6 linked regions of the Macaca fascicularis genome follow. The protein of the gene in region 6 interacts with the protein of the main gene of each other region in a pairwise test. Links are inferred from orthologs where the notes say so. Each region holds a gene or a part of one and is shown on either strand. Other genes may lie near its edges. The genes, in order: CREBZF, TRIM54, LZTS2, TRIM10, MAGED1 and TTC23.

Evidence for each region.
Region 1: the proteins of TTC23 (region 6) and CREBZF interact in binary tests that used the Homo sapiens proteins (3 or more experiments, as listed by UniProt). The two-hybrid records come from large-scale screens. The link is inferred for Macaca fascicularis from reciprocal best matches to the Homo sapiens genes TTC23 and CREBZF.
Region 2: the proteins of TTC23 (region 6) and TRIM54 interact in binary tests that used the Homo sapiens proteins (3 or more experiments, as listed by UniProt). The two-hybrid records come from large-scale screens. The link is inferred for Macaca fascicularis from reciprocal best matches to the Homo sapiens genes TTC23 and TRIM54.
Region 3: the proteins of TTC23 (region 6) and LZTS2 interact in binary tests that used the Homo sapiens proteins (3 or more experiments, as listed by UniProt). The two-hybrid records come from large-scale screens. The link is inferred for Macaca fascicularis from reciprocal best matches to the Homo sapiens genes TTC23 and LZTS2.
Region 4: the proteins of TTC23 (region 6) and TRIM10 interact in binary tests that used the Homo sapiens proteins (3 or more experiments, as listed by UniProt). The two-hybrid records come from large-scale screens. The link is inferred for Macaca fascicularis from reciprocal best matches to the Homo sapiens genes TTC23 and TRIM10.
Region 5: the proteins of TTC23 (region 6) and MAGED1 interact in binary tests that used the Homo sapiens proteins (3 or more experiments, as listed by UniProt). The two-hybrid records come from large-scale screens. The link is inferred for Macaca fascicularis from reciprocal best matches to the Homo sapiens genes TTC23 and MAGED1.

What each region holds. Positions count from the first base shown.
Region 1 is NC_088388.1:84,705,634-84,709,843, forward strand, and holds the start of CREBZF (CREB/ATF bZIP transcription factor), read right to left. Parts: upstream 2,801-4,210; 5' UTR 2,547-2,800; coding exon 1,489-2,546; coding exon of another isoform or gene 1,485-1,488; exon of another isoform or gene 1,372-1,484; intron 1,276-1,371; coding exon 1,260-1,275; 3' UTR 1,198-1,259; intron 971-1,197; 3' UTR 856-970; intron 134-855; 3' UTR 65-133; exon of another isoform or gene 1-64.
Region 2 is NC_088387.1:94,935,227-94,939,285, reverse strand, and holds the start of TRIM54 (tripartite motif-containing protein 54), read left to right. Parts: upstream 1-1,259; 5' UTR 1,260-1,572; coding exon 1,573-1,740; intron 1,741-4,059. UniProt on the Homo sapiens protein: May bind and stabilize microtubules during myotubes formation.
Region 3 is NC_088383.1:109,962,960-109,966,459, forward strand, and holds part of LZTS2 (leucine zipper putative tumor suppressor 2), read left to right. Parts: coding exon 1-592; intron 593-1,479; exon of another isoform or gene 1,480-1,910; coding exon 1,911-2,168; intron 2,169-2,922; coding exon 2,923-3,500. UniProt on the Homo sapiens protein: Negative regulator of katanin-mediated microtubule severing and release from the centrosome. Required for central spindle formation and the completion of cytokinesis.
Region 4 is NC_088378.1:142,511,009-142,515,271, reverse strand, and holds the start of TRIM10 (tripartite motif-containing protein 10), read right to left. Parts: upstream 2,801-4,263; 5' UTR 2,718-2,800; coding exon 2,289-2,717; intron 1,068-2,288; coding exon 972-1,067; intron 448-971; coding exon 217-447; intron 1-216. UniProt on the Homo sapiens protein: E3 ligase that plays an essential role in the differentiation and survival of terminal erythroid cells. May directly bind to PTEN and promote its ubiquitination, resulting in its proteasomal degradation and activation of hypertrophic signaling.
Region 5 is NC_088395.1:51,968,158-51,971,496, forward strand, and holds the end of MAGED1 (melanoma-associated antigen D1), read left to right. Parts: intron 1-664; coding exon 665-779; intron 780-2,038; coding exon 2,039-2,416; 3' UTR 2,417-2,424; intron 2,425-2,630; 3' UTR 2,631-2,839; downstream 2,840-3,339. UniProt on the Homo sapiens protein: Involved in the apoptotic response after nerve growth factor (NGF) binding in neuronal cells. Inhibits cell cycle progression, and facilitates NGFR-mediated apoptosis. May act as a regulator of the function of DLX family members.
Region 6 is NC_088381.1:84,112,750-84,116,249, reverse strand, and holds part of TTC23 (tetratricopeptide repeat protein 23), read left to right. Parts: intron 1-478; coding exon 479-629; intron 630-813; coding exon 814-939; intron 940-3,500. UniProt on the Homo sapiens protein: Participates positively in the ciliary Hedgehog (Hh) signaling.

The sequences.
Region 1 (4,210 bases), on a different chromosome or scaffold from region 6:
ATTTTAAAAATAAAAAACAGCAGAAGCCCTGATATTACCTCTTTTTCCTCATTTCTTATACTACCTTTTAAAATAAAGCAGGAAATGTGGCCAGCAGCTGGTCCCGTCTCTTCTGCCCCAACAGCTGTATCCACTTTAGCACAAAGAAAAACAAGGATGCTAAATACGTATATACTTTATCAAGCAGTGATGTTTCACAAAGAATTTCTTAATGCCTCTTACACTGAAGGACACCATAACTCAATTTATACAAATGGTTAATAGATTCAAGGGAAGAATAAATCCCACCTTTGGGAAAATAGTGCCAATCGTGTTATTTAAGTGGCCAGAAGCACTCAATTTAAAAAATTATTCTAAAATAAGACAAATACTTTTGAAATACAGAGAATAAGATTCTTTGTGAAGCCTCACTTTACACGTTTTCATTCACATTTCACAACCTTCAATATCTAATCATACATATATAAATTTAACCTAAAATTTTAATACAACAAAAATAAAGATGTTCAACAATTTATTCATACTCAGTGATAGGGTAATCACTGCTGGTCCTCAAAGAAATATTAACCATTCTTATTCTCGAAGTAACTAAAACACAGAAGTCTGATATGCATGTTAATTTCCAACTTCTCTAATGGTGAGATACTAAAATCTGTTACTCCGTATAGACTGTTTCTATATCTCCTACTGAAAACTAAAAGGCATTGATATTTCAGAGGTACCTGTCACCTCCAGCAAAATAACTATCACATTTGTGCATGCCCCAAATACTTATTGTCAACCTCTGAAAAGTTGCCCTAAAATCGGAATTCCAATTTGCACCTTGTACAACTCGGAACTTCCATTCAACTTCACCTGTTTCACTGTCTCCAAACTGTATCTCTATAAGCAGGTTTCAGTGTACAGTTGGAACCGATGTCATCCAAGGCCATGTCCACACTGGGGACAGAAGAGCTAGGTACACGCAAGTCTGAATAAGGGGACACATTAATAGCTATTTCAACCAGAAGAGGCATCTTAAATACATTCTTGACCAGCACAAGTCTGTTTCCAGGGTGGACAGGGCCCAAATTAGATTTCCCTCCCACCTTCCAAAACAGGAAAAAAAAAAACCACACACACACAGACTGAGATGTTGCCCATTAAAGTAGACTAAGCAGCAGAGCATGAGCGTTACGGGAAGAGATGGATCCTTACCAGGTTGTGAGGCGGGAACGACTGTTCTGTAACCCCTACAACGGAGCCTGGCAGGAAGGAAATCACCTAAAAAAGAAACTGTCAGAGAGATTTAATAGTCACATGTTATCATTAGGAGTTGGTTACTGTGTCACATTCATGCTTTTAGCTAAACACTTTAAGATTCAATATTACTTTTTTTCTCTCCTCTGAAATGTGTCCGGTGAAGATGTCCCACTAAGGTAAGTTTGACATGGTGTAAGGGAGTTGAAAGGGGTAAACGCGGATAAAGAGCAGATTACTTGACCCTACATTTTAAGAGAAGACGACGCCTTCCGGGCGCACGCCGAGCAGAACTCCACCGACACCTTATCCTTGTCCACATGGAGACAGACTCCTCCCGCCGAGTCGTCCTCTTCCAGCAGGTCCTGCTTCTGCTTTCCCACCGGCAGAGCGTAGTCGTGGTCACCGGCGGGCGAGTCTCTGAAGAGCGAGGTGGTCAGCCGCAGTCCCACGCCGCTCAGCCGGCTCAGCAAGCGAGCCAGTCCAGTCTCGTTGGCTAAGACTGCCCGTAGGTAGCGACTCTCCTCCTGCAGTGCCTGTACGCGTTTGCCCAGCTCCCGATTCTCGGCCCGCAGTTCCTGGTTCTCGGCTGCCAGACCCCGTACTCGACTCTCCAGCCCCATCACGTACTCCTTCTTCTTCAGCCGATTAAGGCGGGCAGCGGCCGCCGCCGCCTTCCGGGGACTCTTTGTCGCCGCCTGGTTGTTGTCGTTACCGCTGCCGCCACCGCCGCCTCCTGGAGACTTTTTCCGCCTCTTTTCGGCGCTGCCACTGTCACTGCTGCTGCTGCAGCCTCCGATACCGTTTAACAGCCTCTGCAGCAGGTCAGAGAAGCGCTGCATTTCAGCAGCCGCGGCCTCATCGTCATCCTCCCCTCTCCACAGGCCGCCGCTATCCGAGCCTCCGCCAGACGAGGAGAGAGGCCCCGGCGAGCTAAGCCCGGGGTCCAAGTGCCAGTCCGGTTGCCGGGGGTCCAGGAGATCCGCCAGTTCCAGCCCAGACAGAAAGTCCATATCCTCCGTTTCTTCTCCGGGGAGGCTGGCGATCGCTTCCTCCTCCATCTCCTCGGGCGAGGGCGCGCGCACGGCCACCCTGCCGCGGCTCCCCCTCCCGGCTTCCAACTCCCCTTCGTCGCCAAGCTGCTGCTTGCGGCCGGGAGATCCGGCCGCTGCTGTCTCCTCCTCCCCCGCTGCCGCCCGGGTGAGGTCCGAGGGCAGCGAGCAGGTTGCAGCCGGGGCTGGGCTCTCACTGCGGGTTGGGGAGTTGCTGCCCGAGGCTGCCAGCAGCTTGGTCAGGCTATGCCTCATGAGGGCCGGCGGCGGGCCGCGGTAGGCCCTGGCCGCTAAGAGTGGGCCTCACGGGCCCCAAGGATCCCGCGCCCCAGGGCGGGTAGCCCCCGGCACTGGCCGAAACGAAATGCAGGGAAAGGTCCGAGTAGCCTCCCGCCTCAGTTGGCTAGTCGACCCCCCGCGCAAGGGCGCAGGAAGGGTCGGGAGAAAGAAGCGGTGAGGCCCACTGATGACTCGACCGCACCACCCAGACAACGGCCTGGCCGGAAGTCAGTGGTTTTCGCCCCAGCCCCGCCCACCGCGTTTCGCGCGCCACCAGGCCGTAATATCGCGAGGTTTTAGGGTGCTTTGGAGTGGGAATAATTCCAGCTTTCTAGTGACATCATAATAACTGCAGCAAAAATAACAACAGACTCTAGATTTATCCACCCTAATTCAATAATACCGCCCAATACCCAGACTCAACAGTTCAACACATTGTTTTGCCATATTTGCTTTATCTTTACATAAATGCTTGTAAATTTTTTTTGCTGAATCATCCTAAAGTTGCAGGTAAGACACCACACCCCTGCGTACTTCAGTGTGCATCTCTAAAACTAAGGACTTTTTTTCATAATCATAATACTATTACCAAGTCTTCAGAAAATTAACAATCGTTTACTAATACTATTTAATACCTGGGCCATACTAGATGTCCTCAGTTGGATAATGGATATGCTAATTACCCTAACCTGATCACTACATTCCATATGTATGGAAACATCACTATGTACCCCATGAATGTGACAGTTATTATTTGTCAATTAAAAAAAAAAAAAAGGAATGTAGAATACAACGTTCCTTACAAAAATTGTCTTCGGTTGTTCATGCCATTTTTTACAAGTAGGTATTTTCACTTGAGCCAAGATCCAATCAGTACTGACTTACTGCATTTGGGTAACGAACAAAAACTCTGACAAATAGAGCCAGAAAAGGCTATGAAGAGAGGGTACTCATACTTGTATGCCTGAAAACAAAGACTGCAAAACTACAACGTTGCACAAAAACCATCACGACCTTATACAAAACCTCTGCAAGGATGTCTGCCCAGAAGCTGCCTGTCCAACCTTGAACTGACGTCACCCTTGTTATTGACCTTTGTAGTCAAGATAATTATTTCAAAACAATGTGTAACCATCCTCATTTTTTTTCCTTTAAAACCCTTTGTCTTCCTTCGTCTTCCTGCATACACACATAGTTTACTATGGCATGCGTTTTCCCATTGAAATGCTCTATTTTCAATGCACATCTTTTATTTTAGAGACCTTTTCTGTTTGTTATTTAGGTTCACATCCCACAAGGGATTTGAGATTTGAAGCAGTTTACAAATACAGATATTTAGGTTCATATCCCACAAGAGATCTGAGATTTGAAGCAGTTTACAAGTACATTAGAATATAGTAAAACAAAACATTTTGAATTTTTAAAAAGCAAGGCCAAAAAAAAGATGAACTAGGAAGAGAAGGAGTTCTGAAAGGGGAAACGGTTAATATTGGAATTGGATGGATGCAATATCTTACTCAGTTGTTTGAGTTGGGCTAAAATTGTTTCCTGACAGCCCAAACAAAAAAAGAGAAATGAATTTTCCTTTGTTCATAAGTAAAGTATATATGAATTCTTTAACCACTTTTCTAGTTCTTAAA
Region 2 (4,059 bases), on a different chromosome or scaffold from region 6:
TCCTTTTCACATCTTATGCAGGCCAATTGACATATAATTTGTTCTCAAAAATAGGGGCATGAAATATGTGATCCGGAGAAGATTGCACTTTCTGGACTCTTTTCCCACTCTTGCCTCTTTGTGCTGCTGTTTCGTATCCTCCTCACACCGTGTATTTCCTACCCACTCAGGGTCACTAGCTACTAACTCCTCAGACTTCTCTTCCTGGACTGGGAGAAGGGCTAAAGAATGGCGGTAAATAAAAGAGCTTTTGTCCAATCCCAAGGCATATTTTGGACCCAGAAAAGACAAATTGTGTCTGGGGTGGAGGAAAAAGGCCTAAAGAAATTGCTTCTTGGCTTTTTGGCTAATATCAAGTGGAGAAAAAGACCTGTAGGAGAAAAAGAAGACCAGTGCTCACAACTGGGGCGAGCCTGGCTTGGAGAGGAGGAGTCCTGGACAACTGTGGAGCTGGGGCAGAGGCTTCCTGGAGCCTTATGATTATGACTTTGTCAGTGCTCTAAAATTTCCCTGGAGGTTGATTCCCTGGGTGCCCAAAATAGGTCCCTGGCATTCATGTCCTTTCTGCCCAGCTCACCTTCTCCCAATTTCCTAACAAATTTGAAGTCCTTAGAGTGGCTCCAGGGATGTGTTCACGAACCAGAATCCCACATTTCCTCGGGCGCATGCTCATAGGTAGGTCCAGGCCTTGGCACAGTACTCATTTCTAGCCTCTTGAGCTTCATTTCCTAGGGTGATATAAGAAAAGGCAGGCAAGAACAAAAATGAGCCAGAGGTATTGGACAAGAGGCTTGATGGAGTCTCTGGAGCTGCTGTTCTGAATCACACAGTCTTGAGGAGGAGGACCAGGGTCACTGGCTGAGCCTGTGGAGGAGGCAACTGCTACTGACTCTAAGTCTGGCAAGATCTTTCCTCCCACCCTGAGCTATGTATGGGTGCTTCTCACACAGGCAGATTTAGATTCTGTGTCACTGTCCTGGAAGAAGGGCCCAAGCCAGAGCAGGGGTCCTGGGCTCAGAGGAGCCTTCAGAGTGAGAGGGCAGCACCTTTGCTGACCCACCTTTCACCGTAAGCAGTGGTGCTTGCCCCTGCCCTTGCTCAGGGGAGTCACCCATTCCTGAGTGAGTCAGGGTCACTCACTCCGTGACAGCTGTGGCTCGCCTTACATGAGCTAAATTGGGAATTGGAATGTCATGCAGATGCCCCTTGTCTCCCCACCCCCACAGTAAAATTAATCTCCTCTCTGGGGAGTAAGGGACAAACAGTGCTACCCACAGAGTGAACAAGAGAGAGTCATTTGGGAAACAAAAGGAGGACTTTACAGAGAGAGAGGGATAGCTAAAACTACGTGAGCCTGCCGAGGGTGCAGAGCAGAAAGTAGAGACAGAAGTGTCTGAAGACTGCTATCTGGGACGAGACAAGTTGTTAAAGGGACAGGAGAGAGAGCAGAGCTATTTCAAGAGTGAGCCACAGAAGGGAATCCACAGGCCGTCTGAGTGAGGAAGGGTCTACAGACAGTGAGTGAAGGCCAGGAGCAGGACCCAAGCCAGGGTAGGCACAACCACCGAGGGGATGAACTTCACCGTGGGTTTCAAGCCGCTGCTAGGGGATGCACACAGCATGGACAACCTGGAGAAGCAGCTCATCTGCCCCATCTGCCTGGAGATGTTCTCCAAACCAGTGGTGATCCTGCCCTGCCAACACAACCTGTGCCGCAAGTGTGCCAACGACGTCTTCCAGGTGGGCGCCAGGGATGGGGCAGGGCCAGGTAAAGCAATGCAGACCTGTGGGGGACTGATCAGGTCAGAGCTAAGACCCCAGAAAGTGATGGATAGAGTGCTCTCTGAGGTAGGTGGTGGCTGTTGTGGCTGGAGAGCAGAAGGGCTGGGGTCCAAGCAAATCCCAGAGCAAGCATGAGTCAGCAGCTGCCCTGCAGGCTGGCAGGTACAGCCTGTCCATAGACGGCAGCTGGAGTGCTGGGATCTGCTGAGGAAAGGAGACCCTGTGGAAACTGGGAGGGAGGGGATCCTACACCGGCCTTTTAAGAGCCTGTGCCAGACTCTGCATTCCAGTTTGGAGTTTCACACTTTGAGAGCATTGCGGAAAATACGGAGAAAAGATTAATGAGATAATGAAACATTAAAAAACAAACAGAAAAAACCCAACCCTGTGAGAAAGCTCCATAATGGCAGTAAAACGATTCGTGTTTAAGGAAAGTTCAGGGCATCCGTTGTGGGGGACAGAGTTAGACGCAGTGGGCAGGAGACTGGGAACTCTCCCCAACTTGAGTTCATACCTGTTACCTCCAGATTGTTGAGTAAAGAGGCCTACTGGTTCAAAGCTATTGAGGTCACTTGACAAGAAGAGAGAAGGCAAAGAAATTTACTTTTAGAAGTCTAGCCAGTTTTGGTTTATTTGTGGTCATGGAGCCAAGCATAGCTAATCAAATTCACAGATACCATTTTAGCCACTGGTTTAGAAATAAAAGCTGCATATACCAGAATGGATTATAAGTGGGCTTTTTTTTCTTTTCCTGTGCTACCGGGGAGGTTCTAGTAGGCTATGAAATGGAACAGAGATCAGGGTGAGGGGCAAAGGCACACACACACACACACACACACACACACACACGCGGCCTTGCCGATTAAGCAAAAGCTCTGAATGTGGCCGGGCGTGGTGGCTCACGCCTGTAATCCCAGCACTTTGGGAGGCGAGGCCGGCGGATCACGAGGTCAGGAGTTCGAGACCGGCCTGGCCAATATGGTGAAACCCCATCTCTACCAAAAATACAAAAATTAGCTAGGCGTGGTGGCAGGCGCCTGTAGTCCCAGCTCCTCAGGAGGCTGAGGCAGGAGAATCACTTGAACCCAGGAGGCGGAGGTTGCCATGAGTCGAGATCATGCCATTGTACTCTGACCTGGGTGACAGAGCAAGACTCTGTCTCAAAAACACAAAAACAAACCCTGAATAGACCAGAGCTGGCTTAGTATGTGTGTCAGTGATACGGAACATCCCAAACAAGTATTCTTCAGTGTCAGAAATGATGAGGAAATGTGTTAAACACAAGGGATTTTTAACCTAACCAAGAAAATACTTCCCTCTTAAGTTCCTCGGGGCAGCTTGTTTGGGAAAGGAATGGACTGGCTAGGTCCCGCCATCCCACGATGTACCCTGTGACCCGCCCCTTGTATGTCTGCTGTGTGTCATCTTCACTGCAGACCAGCACTCTGTGGTCTCTCCTGCCATCTTCCCATTGAGGCCCATTCCCTCTCCTATTCTTTTATGTGTCCAAACCTGCCATTATTCAGCTCCAGAGTATCTCAGAGGCAGTAGATTTTCCGTCTCGGGGGACCCAGACCAAATGCTATGCCTCCTCATCCTGGGCATGAAGTCCTGCATGAGAGGCAATGCTTTGCCCACCATCTTGGTGTTTCCTTGGTCTGAGGAATTCCGAACATCCTTCAGGCTGAGATGCCTAGGAGGAAATGGCGGAAAGATTTTGCCATCATTTCTCATGAACTGACAGTGAAACATCCTCTCACTGGAACTTGAAATGTGTGAAAACAAAGAGAAGTTTTGAAAGTTAAGGTGACGTGTCCTATAGAAAAGTGGTCAGAATGTCCAAGAGCATTCCTGGGTGCCTCTGTCGTCTGGCAGAGGGGCCCAGGAGCAGTCCCCATACATGGAGGCTAGAATGTGTTCAAGTGACATGCTTGTTTAAGTCAACCCTTTCTACCCAAGCACACTGTTTCAGTTCCAGAAAGCTCTGGAATACTGATCTGGGCTCAGAGAGACCTTGGAATGGCTTGGGGCAAACCCTGTACAGAATATTTGGAGATAACGTGATACCCAGGGCTTTGGGGTGGCCCTGTGGGTCTGGAGTGATGTGTGTCGTTTGAGGTGCAGAGCAGCCCTGGCCCCTCCAAGGAGGAAGAGTGAAGAGCTCATCCCTTGCTGCTTATTTGGGAGGGCCTGGTGGGAGGCTGACCCAGTTCTTCAGCTGCACTCAAGTCTGTATATCTCAATATATCTCAGTAGATCTCCCTCGGAAAGATGAGC
Region 3 (3,500 bases), on a different chromosome or scaffold from region 6:
GTCCCTGCCTAGCTTCATGGGTCCTCGGGCCACCGGGCTGTCTGGGAGCCAGGGCAGCCTGACACAGCTGTTTGGGGGCCCTGCCTCCTCCTCCTCTTCTTCCTCCTCCTCTTCAGCTGCTGACAAACCCCTGGCATTTAGTGGCTGGGCCAGTGGCTGCCCATCAGGGACGCTATCCGACTCTGGCCGAAACTCACTGTCCAGCCTGCCCACCTACAGCACCGGAGGTGCCGAGCCAGCCACCAGCTCCCCAGGCGGGCACCTGCCTTCCCATGGCTCTGGGCGAGGGGCACTGCCTGGGCCAGCCCGAGGGGTCCCTACTGGGCCCTCCCACTCAGACAGTGGCCGGTCCTCCTCCAGCAAGAGCACAGGCTCCCTGGGGGGCCGTGTGGCTGCCGGGCTTTTGGGCAGTGGTACCCGGGCCTCCCCTGACAGCAGCTCCTGTGGGGAGCGCTCACCACCACCCCCGCCTCCACCTCCTTCCGACGAGGCCCTGCTGCACTGTGTCCTGGAAGGAAAGCTCCGAGAGCGGGAGGCAGAGCTTCAGCAGCTGCGGGACAGTCTGGACGAGAATGAGGCTACCATGTGCCAGGTGTGGTCAGAGGCAATGATGGGGAAGGGGCATGGCAGGACATCCCAAGGCCTGGGGAATGAAAGGGGCATTTCCATTTTAGCAGGGAAGAGGGGTTGGGTAGTTGTAGTTGTGACCCCCCTGCCCTCCCCACCAGTTGTCTGGTTTAATTTGTGGAATAGCCAGACGTGGTGGCTCACATCTGTAATCCCAGCACTTTGGGAGGCCGAGGTGGGCGGATTGCTTGAGCTCGGGAGTTTGAGACCAGCCTGGGCAACATGGGGAAACCCCATCTCTCCTAAAAATAAATTAGCTGAGTGTGGTGGCATGTACCTGTAGTCCCAGCTATTTGGGAGGCTGAGGTAGGAGGATCACTTGAGCCCAGGAGGAGGAGGTTACAGTGAGCTGACATTTTGCCATTGCACTCTAGCCTTGGGTAACAGAGCAAGACTGTATCTCAAAACAAGAAACAAAAAACAAAACTTGTGGGGTGGAAAGGAGTCAGAGTGCATGGATTCAAACCTCCCACTGCTAAATACCAGTTTTTGGACTTGAGCAAGTTGCTTAACTTTATTCAGCCTCTATTTCTTCATCTATAACAGGGATATTTCTAGCTTCATAGGATTGTTATGAGGATTAAATAAGGCAAAAGGTGTAAAGTGCTTAGACTAATGCCTGGTATCTAGGAAATGCTATACATAAATGCTTGCTTTTTTTTTTTTTTTTTTGAATTTTTAGTAGAGACGGGGTTCCCACCATGTTGGCCAAGCTGGTTTCGAACCCCTAGCCTCAAGTGAGGCACCCGCCTCAGCCTCCCAAACTGCTGGGATTACAGGCCTGAGCCACTGCACCCGGCCAAGTGCTTTTTTTTTTTTTTTTTTGAGACAGGGTCTCATTCTCTCACCCAGGCTAGAGTGCAGTGGCGCGATTTCGGCTCCTTGTAGCCTCAACCTCCTGGACTCAAGCAGTCCTCCCACCCCAGCCTCCCAAGTAGCTGAAACTACAGGCACACGCCACCACACCAAGCTAATTTTTGTTCTTTGGAGAGGCAAGGTTTTGCTGTGTTGCCTAGGCTGGTCTCGAACTCCGGAGCTTAAGTGATCCACCCACCTCGGCTTCCCAAGATGCTGGGATTACAGGCGTGAGGCACCGAGCCCGGTCTGCTTGCTCTTGTGTTTGTTTCTATGATCATTATAAAAGCAGTTAGTATTGTTGCAATTACTATTGTTGTTTGATGGAATACACCCTTCCTGAGCCCTCAGAAGTGGGCCGCCAGGCAGACACTGAGTGGGGAGTTGGGAAAACTGCCCAGGAGCTGGGTCTGTCTTCTCGCCTGCAGGCATACGAGGAGCGGCAGCGGCACTGGCAGCGAGAGCGCGAGGCCCTGCGAGAGGACTGTGCAGCCCAGGCACAGCGGGCACAGCGGGCCCAACAGCTGCTGCAGCTGCAGGTGTTCCAGCTGCAGCAGGAGAAGCGGCAATTGCAGGATGACTTTGCACAGCTGCTGCAGGAGCGTGAACAGCTGGAGCGGCGCTGCGCCACCTTGGAGCGGGAGCAGCGGGAGCTCGGGCCAAGGCTTGAGGAGACCAAGTGGGAGGTGGGCCAGACCAGGAGGGGCAGGGAGCAGGGTCACACAGGGAGAAACCCTGGAAAAAGGGGCCCAGCCGCACCCTCCCTCAGCCTGCCACCCCCAGAGGTCCTCCCCTTCCTCACCTCCGTGAGATGAAGTTCTCCTCTGTTCCTTTCTGGGAGGAGGGTCTCCTTGTTGGCCTTGTCTAGTGGCACAAAGCCACGCTCCAGCCAGTAGTAAGAATGTGGTGTTTGTGGTGTGGAGGCACTCTTCTAAGCATGTTACATGGGACAGATCATTTCATCCTTGTAACAACACTGAGGGGGCTACCACTAGTCTCCCCATTTTAGAGATGAGTAAACTGAGGCCCAGAAAGACTGGAGTGCCAAATCTGAACCCAGGCAGTCTGGCTCCAATATCTGAGCTCTTAACCAAGTCACTGTAGTACCTCTCCAGTAGACACCTGGGTACTGCCCTCCATTGCCCCCACTCCTGCAGCACCTGCCAGCACCCAGTCCCCAGGGCTCGGTGGTACTTCCACAGTGTCTCGTGATGCTTTGAAGACACCAACTTTGAAGCAAAAAAATCTATGTCTGCTTTCCACTTAAGCCACATCTTCACTCTATGACCTTGGACATGTCACTAGACTTGCCTCAGTGTCTCCATCTATAAAATGGGGATAAAGATGGACTCTCCTCCCGAATGCCCAGCATGATGCACAGGGCCTGTCCCCCCAGGAGAACCTGTCTCACCATCCTTCCCCACTGCCTCCCACCCCCAGGTGTGCCAGAAATCAGGCGAGATCTCCCTGCTGAAGCAGCAGCTGAAGGAGTCTCAGGCAGAGCTGGTGCAGAAGGGCAGCGAGCTGGTGGCCCTGCGGGTGGCACTGCGGGAGGCCCGTGCTACCCTGCGGGTCAGTGAGGGCCGTGCGCGGGGTCTACAGGAGGCCGCCCGAGCTCGGGAGCTGGAGCTGGAAGCCTGTTCCCAGGAGCTGCAGCGACACCGCCAGGAAGCCGAGCGGCTGCGGGAGAAAGCTGGGCAGTTGGATGCTGAGGCGGCTGGACTCCGGGAGCCGGCTGTGCCACCTGCCACCGCTGACCCATTCCTCCTGGCAGAGAGTGATGAGGCCAAAGTGCAGCGGGCAGCAGCCGGGGTTGGGGGCAGCTTGCGGGCCCAGGTGGAGCGATTGCGGGTGGAGCTGCAGCGGGAGCGGCGGCGGGGTGAGGAGCAGCGGGACAGCTTTGAAGGGGAGCGGCTGGCCTGGCAGGCAGAGAAGGAGCAGGTGATCCGCTACCAGAAGCAGCTGCAGCACAACTACATCCAGATGTACCGGCGCAACCGGCAGCTAGAGCAGGAGCT
Region 4 (4,263 bases), on a different chromosome or scaffold from region 6:
CAGATGGTGGGATGGAGAGGTGGAGACCAAAGAGCAAAAAGTGACCAGGGAACACTTGGAAAAGCATGAACCAGAATTGAGACCTTCTGGTCCTCTGACCTACCTCCCATCTGGGATACGGAGATGTGTGAGTCAGGGAGACATGACTTAGGCAAGGCAAAGATACAAGAGTCACAGGACAGCACAGGTGGGGCAGGGTTCAGGTTCAGGCCTCACCGTCAGGAGCTCCCTTGCTGGCCTCTCATTCTTCTCCTCCAGTTCTTCAATAAGAGTACTAAACCGGCAGATCTCTCCAGCAACCAGGAAATCAAATTCATCCTGTTGCTTCAAGATGTCTCCATCCAGGCTCTCCAGTTGTGCTAAGAGGATGCTCTGCTGTTCCTCTAGAAACTTCCTCAGGTGTGCGAACTCAGAAATCACCTGTTGTCTCTTGGTGGACACCTGAGTCTGAGGGGGCAGGAGGAGAGCCCAAGAGAAAGTTTGCTTCCTCCTTCTCCCTCTGCTCCTCTTCCTCCTACCCTGTCCCCAGGTAGATCTGGAACTGTATCATGGTTTCCTCTTCACCTGTCATCCCATTTCAGGGAGCAAGACTCACAGTGCTGTCTCAGCACCATCTGCTGCAGCTTCTAAAAGAGGGTAGGACTTACAGGAGGTGTAGGAGGAGGTGGTGGGGACACCCTACCTCCTGTCTTGTATGAAAAGCACACTATGTGCGCAGCCCTGAGCTACTTTACAGTCACAGTCTCATTTAATACTTACAGTAATTCAATGAGATCATGATGATTTTTACTCTCCATTTTACAGATAAGTAAACTGAAGTTAGAGAGTTGCTTGAGGTCATAGAGTTAGTGTCAGAGTCAGGATTTAAACTCATAATAACTTCAAAGCCCTATAATCTATGTTGCCTCAGTTTCAGGAAGACATTGGACCTTGAGGAAGGGGAGGAACCTGGGGAAGGGGTGATGACTTACCAGGAGGACTTGCATCCTTTTATTTTCTCTTGACTGGATTTCTTGAATCTCCTCTCTCTCTTTTCTTAGACATTTAAGACACTTATGTATTTGTTCCTGGGGAGAAGGAACATAAAATACTCAAGATGGATATTTATTTGTTCAGGGTTGTCTTGTCATCTGAGCCTCTGCCTCCAGGAATGAAGTGGCCCCAGGAGAGGAGTCTCTTCCTTAGCTGACAATCCCCGAGCCTCCACCACCCTGACAGCTTAGTCCCTTTAGGTCTGTTCCTCTTGATTTGTCTCCACGACTTTGGGTCAGGACTTTCCCCTTTCTCCTGTGCCACTAGAGGCTGTGACTTGGTTTTCGCACTTGAGTCTTTCTTCAGGTTAAACATTCTATTGTGTTTTGCTTCGGGTAAGTGGTATCTGGGGTCTGTCCTGAGTTTGATATGCCCTGCACTGAAATCATTCCAGTTTCCAACACATCCCAAAGGAACATGTGTAAATAATAACCCTCCCTTGTTACTGGAATCAATTATCTGTGTATGACTCCAAAGGGGAGAAGAAACTTGGGTAATGTAAAAATAATTGATAAATTGTTTTCAAAATTATTTGCTCCAGAATAGAGTTAGGAACAGGTACACATACATTATAAATATGTGTGTTCAAAGACATATTAGAAATCTCACTATCAGTTGCTAATTAACTAATTAAGACATCCACACACAGACTTGTACTAAAACACAATTCATAAACATAATGCATAAACAACTAAAACTAGCACACACTCATTTAATGACAGATAAAATGGCATGCCACATATATTTACCCAACCTGAATATATGTAAACATGAATTTTTCACAAACAGGAGCTCTCAGTTACACTCACACACTCAAATACATACATACTCAGACTCCCACACAAACACACCAGGCACACATGCAAATGTTAACATGCAAACATGTTAACATGCAAACATCTAAACATGCAAACGTTAACACATATACACACTGTTTGTACAATCATTCCCTCAGATACAAACTTCAGACACACCTGATCCATGGCACAGACATACACACTCATGTTCTGGTCACTCATTCATTCAACAAGTATTTGTTGAACTCCCATTATCTGTTGGCCACAAGTGAATACAGAACACACTCAAAAAAACATAAAACATAAACATAATTTTCCATGCCTGGGTCTATTGCCTGGGTGATCATGTAAGTCAGGAGAAAGAATTTGGCCTCCGGGTGGCCTAAATAATCCACAACTCTGCTGTTTCTGTTAGTGCTGTCCAGTCCACCCTGGGATCCCCCAGTTCCCCCTTCCTACCCTATAGGGAGCCGCCGCATCCTCTAGGAAGCGCATAGTGTGGGCAGCATGCTCTCCAGCCTCCCGGCACATCACGCACAACTGCATCTCATCATCCTCACAGAAGAAGTAGATCTTCTCTCCGTGCTCCTGGCAGGCATCCTCCTCTCCCAAACCCAGTGTGGACACCAGCTGGAGGCGCTCGATGTTCTCCACCACGTTAGCCAGCTGCCAGTTGGGCCGGAAGCTCCCAGGACGGAAGGGTTCTTTGCAGAGTGGGCAAGTAGGGGACTCCTCCAGGTCTGGGCCTGGGATCTCACAGTAGCGAGTAAGGCAGCCCCGGCAGAAGTTGTGGCCGCAGTCGATAGTGACCGGCTCCCTCAGGGTACCCTGGCAGATGGGGCAGTTGACTTCATCTGCCAGGCTGGTCACAGAGGCAGCAGAGGCCATGCTGCTATGGCTTCCTCAAGGCCACCCTCTCCGCTTGGCCACGGGGGAAGGGCTGGGCCACACACTCACACACCCACATGTGCACATGGCTGGACACAGGTACATATTAAATATGCACCAGCACCCATATCGTCACACACTTGCATATCTGGCAGCCAGGATTCTATTCTCCTGCCAACAGCAGAGATGGGAAATAGCAGAGGAGAGGAAGGAAGAGGGGCTCACAGCATTTCAGAGGTGATCTTAGATGACCATAACCAGGGGCTGGCCATTCCTTTCCGTCCATCTAAATACACTCACAGTAGAAGGAAAGTGGTGATATGTCAGCTGTCCACTGTCAAAAGAAATATTCTTTTGGGGGCAGGTGGGAGACTGGGTCACAGAGTGGAGATGCCACTCCAGCCTTCCTGCAATATGGCCAGCTGTCTCCAAAGAGATTGGAGGTATCAGCCAGCCCAGGGCTTGCCCATCAGCAAGCAGGAGAGTGTGAGGCTCAGATAAGGTCCTTGTGCCAGGGTGTACACTGCACCAGCAACTGAAATGGTGATGCCTCAACTGGCCTGCCGCAAGCCTCGAAAGAGGCTGGAATATTCCCTATGCTGGGGAGGAGAAAGAAAACTAGCAATGGCCAGAATTTATTTACAATGACGGTACATCTTACACTGATATAAGCAATTTAAAAGTATGATCTTATTTTTGTGTCTGCTCTGCAACATCAGTGCTATTAGGATCTCCATTTTATAAATGAGAAAGCTGAGGCCCAGCCAGGTTATTCAGCTTGCCCAAGGCACACAAGTAAGAAGGTGAGTGACCATAAATAATTTGCTGTCAGATCTATGTCTTCCAAGCAATGCCATTCAACATAAATGCAATGTGAGCCACATATGCAATTTAAAATTTCCTAGGAGCCATATAAAAATAGTCTAAACAGGTGAAAGTAATTTTAATGATTTTTTTATTTGGTCCTATATTTCCAAAATATTATCATTTCAATATGTGATCCTTATAAAAAGTTATTAATAAGACATTTTACATTTTTTAATTTGTGCAAAGCCTTTGAAATCCAGTGTGTTGGCCAGGCGCGGTGACTCATGCCTGTAATCCCAGCACTTTGGGAGGCCGAGGTGGGTGGATCACAAGGTTAGGAGATCGAGACCATCCTGGCTAACATGGTGAAACCCTGTCTCTATTAAAAATACCAAAAAAAATTAGCCGGGCGTAGTGGCGGGCACCTGTAGTCCCAGCTACTCGGGAAGCTGAGGCAGGAGAATAGTGTGAACCCGGGAGGCAGAGCTTACAGTGAGTCGAGATCGCACCAATGCACTCCAGCCTAGACAACAGAGCGAGACTCCATCTCAAAAAAAAGAAAAAGAAAAAGAAAAAAAAATCCAGTGTGTATTTTATATATACAGCACGCCGCCATTCAGACCGGCCACATTTCAGTGCTCAGTAGACACATGTGACTGGTGGCTCCTGTGTTGGACAAATTGGCTCCTGGGCTGCACTTGTGGCAGGAAAAGCAGAGATCGGGTGGGAAGGGGAGGAG
Region 5 (3,339 bases), on a different chromosome or scaffold from region 6:
AACTTCCACCTCCTAGGTTCAAGCAATTCTTGTGCCTCAGCCTCCTGAGTAACTGGGACTTCAGGTGCCTGCCACCATGCCCGGCTGTTTTTGTATTTTTAGTAGAGATGGGACTTCACCATGTTGGCCAGGCTGGTCTCAAACTCCTGACCTCAAGCAATTCACCCACCTCTGCCTCCCAAAGTGCTGGGATTACAGGTGTGAGCCATCATGTCCAGCCAGAATTCTTCTAATTTTTCTACTTTTCTAAGTAGTTGTCTTGCAAGTGAAGCCCATCCACCATCCCCACAGTAGACATTCCCAAGGCTGGGCCAGGCTGACACTTTTGCACTACATTGTAATCATTTCAATGGACCTCTGTGGCTCACTGACAAGATTACAAAAATCTGGAGCTAGAGCTGAGGCAGAAGGAGTGAAATGAAATGTTGTCCTTTCTGTGACCCTATACAAACGTCGCCTGCAGCTCTAAGTGAGTGCTTAGTGTTCTGGTGCAGGAATTCAAGGCTTGATGATTAAGGGGTAAATACCCTGATGGTGTTCAGGAATGAGCCCGAGGGGGAGTTGCTATTTGAAATCTGATGTTAAAAAATGTAGGATTATTTTTCATTACTGGACTACCATTCTGCCCGGGTAGGTAGACACAAAGACTGTTTTGCTCTTTCAGATACCTGGACTACAGACGAGTGCCCAACAGCAACCCCCCAGAGTATGAGTTCCTCTGGGGCCTCCGTTCCTACCATGAGACTAGCAAGATGAAAGTGCTGAGATTCATTGCAGAGGTAATGTGCCAACCAGCATTGATAGGTCAAGGGATGAAGTATCGCTGGCTGGGAAAGGTCCAGGGTAGGAATGAGATCCTAGGTATGGCACGTGATAGGTGCTGCATTGCTGGTGGTATTTGTTGTTGTTGTTAGGTAAACTTAACATGCATTAGGTGCTAACATATGTTAATATATTAGCTAATACAATTATGAGTTTGTTTTGGTTTTTTTTTTTTTTAGGTTTTTAAAGTATTTTTATTTTTTCCCAACTTTACTAAAGTATAATTGACAAAAATTGTATATATTTATGGTGTACAATGTAATTTTTAAGTATTTTGTTTTGTTTTATTTATTTATTTTCTCCTGAGATGGAGTTTTGCTGTGTTGCCCAGGCTAGAGTGCAGTGGCGCGATTTTGGCTCACTGAAACCTCTGCCTCCCGGGTTCAAGCGATTCTTGTGCCTCAGCCTCCCAAGTATCTGGGATTACAGGCACGTGCCACCACCATGCCTGGCTAAATTTTTATTTTTCTATTAGAGACAGGGTTTCGCCATGTTAGCCAGGCTGGTCTCGATCTCCTGACCTCAAGTGATCTGCCTGCCTCAGCCTCCCGAAGTGTTGGGATTACAGGCGTGAACCACTGTACCCAGCACATTCATTTATTTTTAATTGACTAATAAAAAGTATATATATTTATGGGGCACAGTATGATGTTTTGATAATACATGTCATGTACATTGCGGAATGATTATATCAAGCTAGTTAACTCTCCGTAGCTTCATATACTTGACATTTTTTTTTTGTGATGAGAACATTTAAAATGTACTCTTTTAGCAATTTTAAATAAACAACATATTATTATTAACTATAGTCATCATGCTATATGGTCAATCTCCAGAACATACTCTTCCTATCTAACTGAAATTTTGTACCTTTTAACCAATATTTCCCCATCCCTCCTGACCCCAGGCCCTGGAAACTATCATTCTACTCTCTGTTTCTATGAGTTAGACCTTTTTAGATTCCATGTATAAGTGAAGTCATGCAGTATTTGTCTTTCTGTGTCTGACTTACTTCACTTAGCATAATGTCATCCAGCATCATCCATGTTGTTGCAAATGGCAGAATTTCCTTCTTTTTAAAGGCTGAATAGTATTCCACTGTGTGTGTGTGTATCACATTTTCCTTATCCATTCATCCATTGATGGACACGTAGGTTGATTCCGTATCTTGGCTATTGTAAATAGATTTTGTTTTGTTTTCTATTCCTCATCTCAGGTTCAGAAAAGAGACCCTCGTGACTGGACTGCACAGTTCATGGAGGCTGCAGATGAGGCCTTGGATGCTCTGGATGCTGCTGCAGCTGAGGCCGAAGCCCGGGCTGAAGCAAGAACCCGCATGGGAATTGGAGATGAGGCTGTGTCTGGGCCCTGGAGCTGGGATGATATTGAGTTTGAGCTGCTGACCTGGGATGAGGAAGGAGATTTTGGAGATCCCTGGTCCAGAATTCCATTTACCTTCTGGGCCAGATACCACCAGAACGCCCGCTCCAGATTTCCTCAGACCTTTGCTGGTCCCATTATTGGTCCTGGTGGTACAGCCGGTGCCAACTTTGCTGCCAACTTTGGTGCCATTGGTTTCTTCTGGGTTGAGTGAGATGTTGGGTAGGTACATCACTTTGGATTGGGCAGTTAGGGTCTCTGGGGGATATAGGGTCCATGGGATTGTATTTATGTGCATGAGCTAGGAGTCTTAGGAAACTCATTGTAGGGAGGTGAGGAAAGTATGGGGCAGCACTCTTTGGTGTGTATATTCCTTATTATTTGATATATATCATTGATTTTTTTACTTTTTTTTCTTATGTTCACAGATATTGCTATCAATCGCAATAGTCTTTCCCCTGTGTGAGGCTGAAGCCTCAGATTCCTTCTAAACACAGCTATCTAGAGAGCCACATCGTGTTGACTGAAAGTGGCATGCAAGATAAATTTATTTGCTGTTCCTTGTCTACTGCTTTTTTTCCCCTTGTGTGCTGTCAAGTTTTGGTATCAGAAATAAACATTGAAATTGCAAAGTGAATTAGATGTGCTCTCTGCTTCTTTTTTTCCCTATATTTGGGGAGCGAGCAACATGTTTATGTGGGAGAGACAGGACCTCGGCTCTAGTTTGAAGGGGGTAGATCAGCTTTCAGCAGGTGGAAATATGGGAAGATCCAGCTACTGGATTGGGATACAAAGGCAGTATCAATGAACACGAGACCCAAGAACTTGTATAGTTTATTCAATAAATATCACTTAAGTGATTCTCATGTGACAGATATGCTGCTAGGTGTCCTGGAGTGACATTGCGAGAATTGCATAGTGAGAGAGGGTATAGGTGCTCAGACAGTTGCACTTAAGAACACAGCGGAGGTGGAACTCCAGGTGATGATAAAGTCCAGAGAGTAGGTAGTTGAAAGGGACAGAAGGTGACTATTCTGGAGATAAGGGGTCCATGGCCTGTGATTCTAGGGTGTTGGTTATACAACCCATGTGGAAAGTGAAATAACTCCAGGAGGGCAGCAGGAGTAGGAGCAGAGA
Region 6 (3,500 bases):
TCAGATATGCATTATGTTAAAAAATAACTCTCTGACGTTGTAATTATAGGTGGGTGAGCTGAAGATTCAGAATTTTTAGTATTTCATTACGATTGCAGTTACACAGCCAGGATTAAAATTCGTGAATATTTTATTTCCTGCCCAGAATGCTGTAGTTCTTGTATTCAATTTGTTTCTTATAATTATATGTAACATATTTTACTTCTGATATTGGTGAAGTTTCAAAGTTGTTCAATTCCAGCTCATTCTGTTTATTTCTAAAAAGGCCATTGGGGGAAAATTTATCTTGAGTACTTGGTATAAAACACTTCTTTGGTTGTTACAGTCACGACAGTGTTTCATGCTGCCCAGATACATCTCCATGTGCCATTTGACAATATGTGAAGGAGACCTTGTTAGATTCTCAGACTGTAGAGAACTGTATTCCTGTCCAGTTGAGATGAAAGAGAAACTGAGACCTCTTTTTCTTTGTCCACAGGACTGTCACTGCAAGCGAAACAACATGCAGAAAAAGCCAAACAAATCCTCGCCAACTCCATTGTGCCTCCCTATAACGAGAATACAGATGTTTTCAAGTTTTCCATTGAGCTTTTCCATACCATGGGCAGAGCTTTACTCTCCCTTCACAAGTATCCTTTTGCCTCTAACTTTTACAAATAGAAATACTATTCATATAATACTTATATGCCAAGTAAAAAGCTGATGCTGATGGATGACTTAGGAAGTGTGATTGGAAGTATGGGAACCAAGGAAGTTCAGGACATGGGGTGTAGAATCTAGAACCAAGTGGAAAGTTTCCTGAACACAATTTAGTTTTAAGGAAGCTTCAGAGAATTTGACAAAAGCAGAGAGACTTTCAAAGGAGCTGCTACAATGTGGAAGGATTATAAAGGAAGAATGGATAGAAATTGAAGCACGGATCAGATTATCATTTGCACAGTAAGTTTCAAGTTTAGGATTTTGCTTACATGATGGCTGGAGGCTCTTTGCCAGTAGAATCTGTCTCAGGTAGGAGGAGCATCTCCATGAGGCTGCGGCTATGGCTTCTCCGGAGGCCACTGTGTAAAAGTAAAAGAGGAGCACAGTCATGTCAGAGCAGCCCCAACCAAGGCATCCATCAGTGACACTTTTCACTCTCTATGGAGTGCCCTCATATCCACCCTGGGTCCCAGAGTTCTGATCATTATTCTCTTGACTTTCTTTTTACCTGCTCTCCCTCCTCACCCCCAGCCCCTACACCCTTCTCTTCCTCCCTCCATTCCTTTTTTCCCTGCCCTGCTCTGGTCTAAAATGCTTCAACGGGTTGCTTTTATGATGAAAACCTAAAAGGAGAAAGATCTTAAACTATCTGAATCCATGATAATGAAAGGATTGTTCTTTGTTCCTCGCCTTACTCCATACTCACCAAGTAAACTCAGCTGGAAGAGATATGAAGAGAAGGTTCTGCATAGTTAGTACTTTTATCTCTCTCCAAAGGGCAACCTAAGCCAATTCCTCAGAGTATTGGGGTGACAAAGTTTGCCCACACTCTTTGGAAAGATGGACTTGTGCAGAGGAAAAGATGAAGAAAGGTCTGTGTTGGAAGAGGCAGAGAATCCCAGTTGACCTACATGGCTTCCCTCAGCCAAACCTGGAAGAGTTCAGTTTACCTTCCTAACTAGATTGTATGTGTAGGTTGATTCCCAAGACAACTCAGAGAACCCACGGAATCATTTTAAGAAAATTGCTAGGAAAGGGCCCCAGGAGAACACACCTAATGCTTCCATGTGAATGGAAAGTGGGAAGAACCAACTTTGACTCATCCAGTTAAAGGTATTTCTTTTGTGATCACAATTCCCCTTGTTCTTTTGTTTTTCTTGAGTGGTTTTTGAACTGCAAGTGCAGAGCTCATTCATCTGTGCAAATTCTCCGGTATGGATTTTTAAATTAATTTTTTCCCTTCATTTCTGATTTTTTCTCTCATTCTCCTACACACACATCATAGATAAATACTTTAATGATGGCTTATGTTTTTGAGTATGTATCTCTGAGTAACAAATAGTATTGTTTTACATATTTATGTGTTTAAAATTGCTATAAATTTGGCTGAGCACAGTGGCTCACACCTGTAACCCCAGCACTTTGGGAGGCTGAGGCAGGTGGATCACAAAGTCAGGAGTTCAAGACCAGCCTTGCCAACATGGTGAAACCCCATCTCTACTTAAAAATACAAAAATTAGCTGAGCATGGTGGCGCATGCCTGTAATCCCAGCTACTCAGGAGGCTGAGGCAGGAGAAATTGCTTGAACCTGGGAGGCAGAGGCTGCAATGAGCCGAGACCTCACCACTGCACTTCAGCCTGGGCGACCGAGTAGGACTCTGTCTCAAACAAAAAGAATGGAAGAAAGGAAGAAAGGGGCGGGGGGGGTGGGAGAGAGAGAAAGAGAAAGAGAGAAAGAAAGAGAAAATTCCTATAAATTTGTAGCATATGTGTCATTCTGCTTGTTACTGTTTTCCACTCAACATGTTTTGATTGTTGCCTGGATTTTAGTTCATTGCTTCTGGTTCCTGTATAATTCTCCATAAAATGCATTTGTTGCGTTTTGTTTGTCCATCCTCCTAACAATAGACATTCAGCTTGTCCCCAGCTCTCTGCTGCCACAGCAGTGCTGCCATGACCATTCTTACACAGCTTCACTTATATGGCTAAGCGACACTTTTTCTAAGGTTTATATCCCAGGGGTGGTATTGCTTTTCTGAGGTTTATATTCCAGGGGTGGTACTGAGTACAAACAAACTTTAAGTGCACCAAGCACCAGCCAACCACGACACCCATCTGCATTTGCATTCCCACTTGCAGAGCGGGTGGGTTCCTAGCACACCCCTGGCAATATTTGACATTGTTGATCTTTGCCAACCTGGTGCATATAACGTGCTATCTAATTATTTAAGTTCTGTTTATATTTCTCCTATTAGTGAGTTTGAATACTTTTCATATACATCTTAGCCACTTGGGATTCTCCTTCTATGAATTGCCTGTTAGTATTCCTTCTCATTTTTATTTTACAGTTTCCTGTACCTTTCCTATTGATAATCAGGGTTTTCTTGTATATTATAAATATTAATGATATAAATATTTTCTTATATCTATTGCCCACTTATTAATTTTGTCTATGGTGTTCTTCATGGCTTAGAAATTATTATTATTTTGCTTCACTCAAATCCATTCATTTTCACCTTATGATTTATGCTCTGGGAGTCTGGTTAGAAAGTCTTTTCCAGCTAAATATCAAAAATATTCTCTAAAATTTCCTTCCAAGACCTACTTTAACTCTACTCCGTATATTTTATCATGAAGCGTTAGCACTGTCATAACTTCTTAGTATTTCATAACTCCATTTATAAATTATTCTTTAGTCCAAGGATTATTCAATGATGTGTGTTTTGGTTTGCAGTTATGAGAGTTTTCAAGATATCTTGATGTTACTGATTTTTAATTGTATTGCGTTGTTATATATATC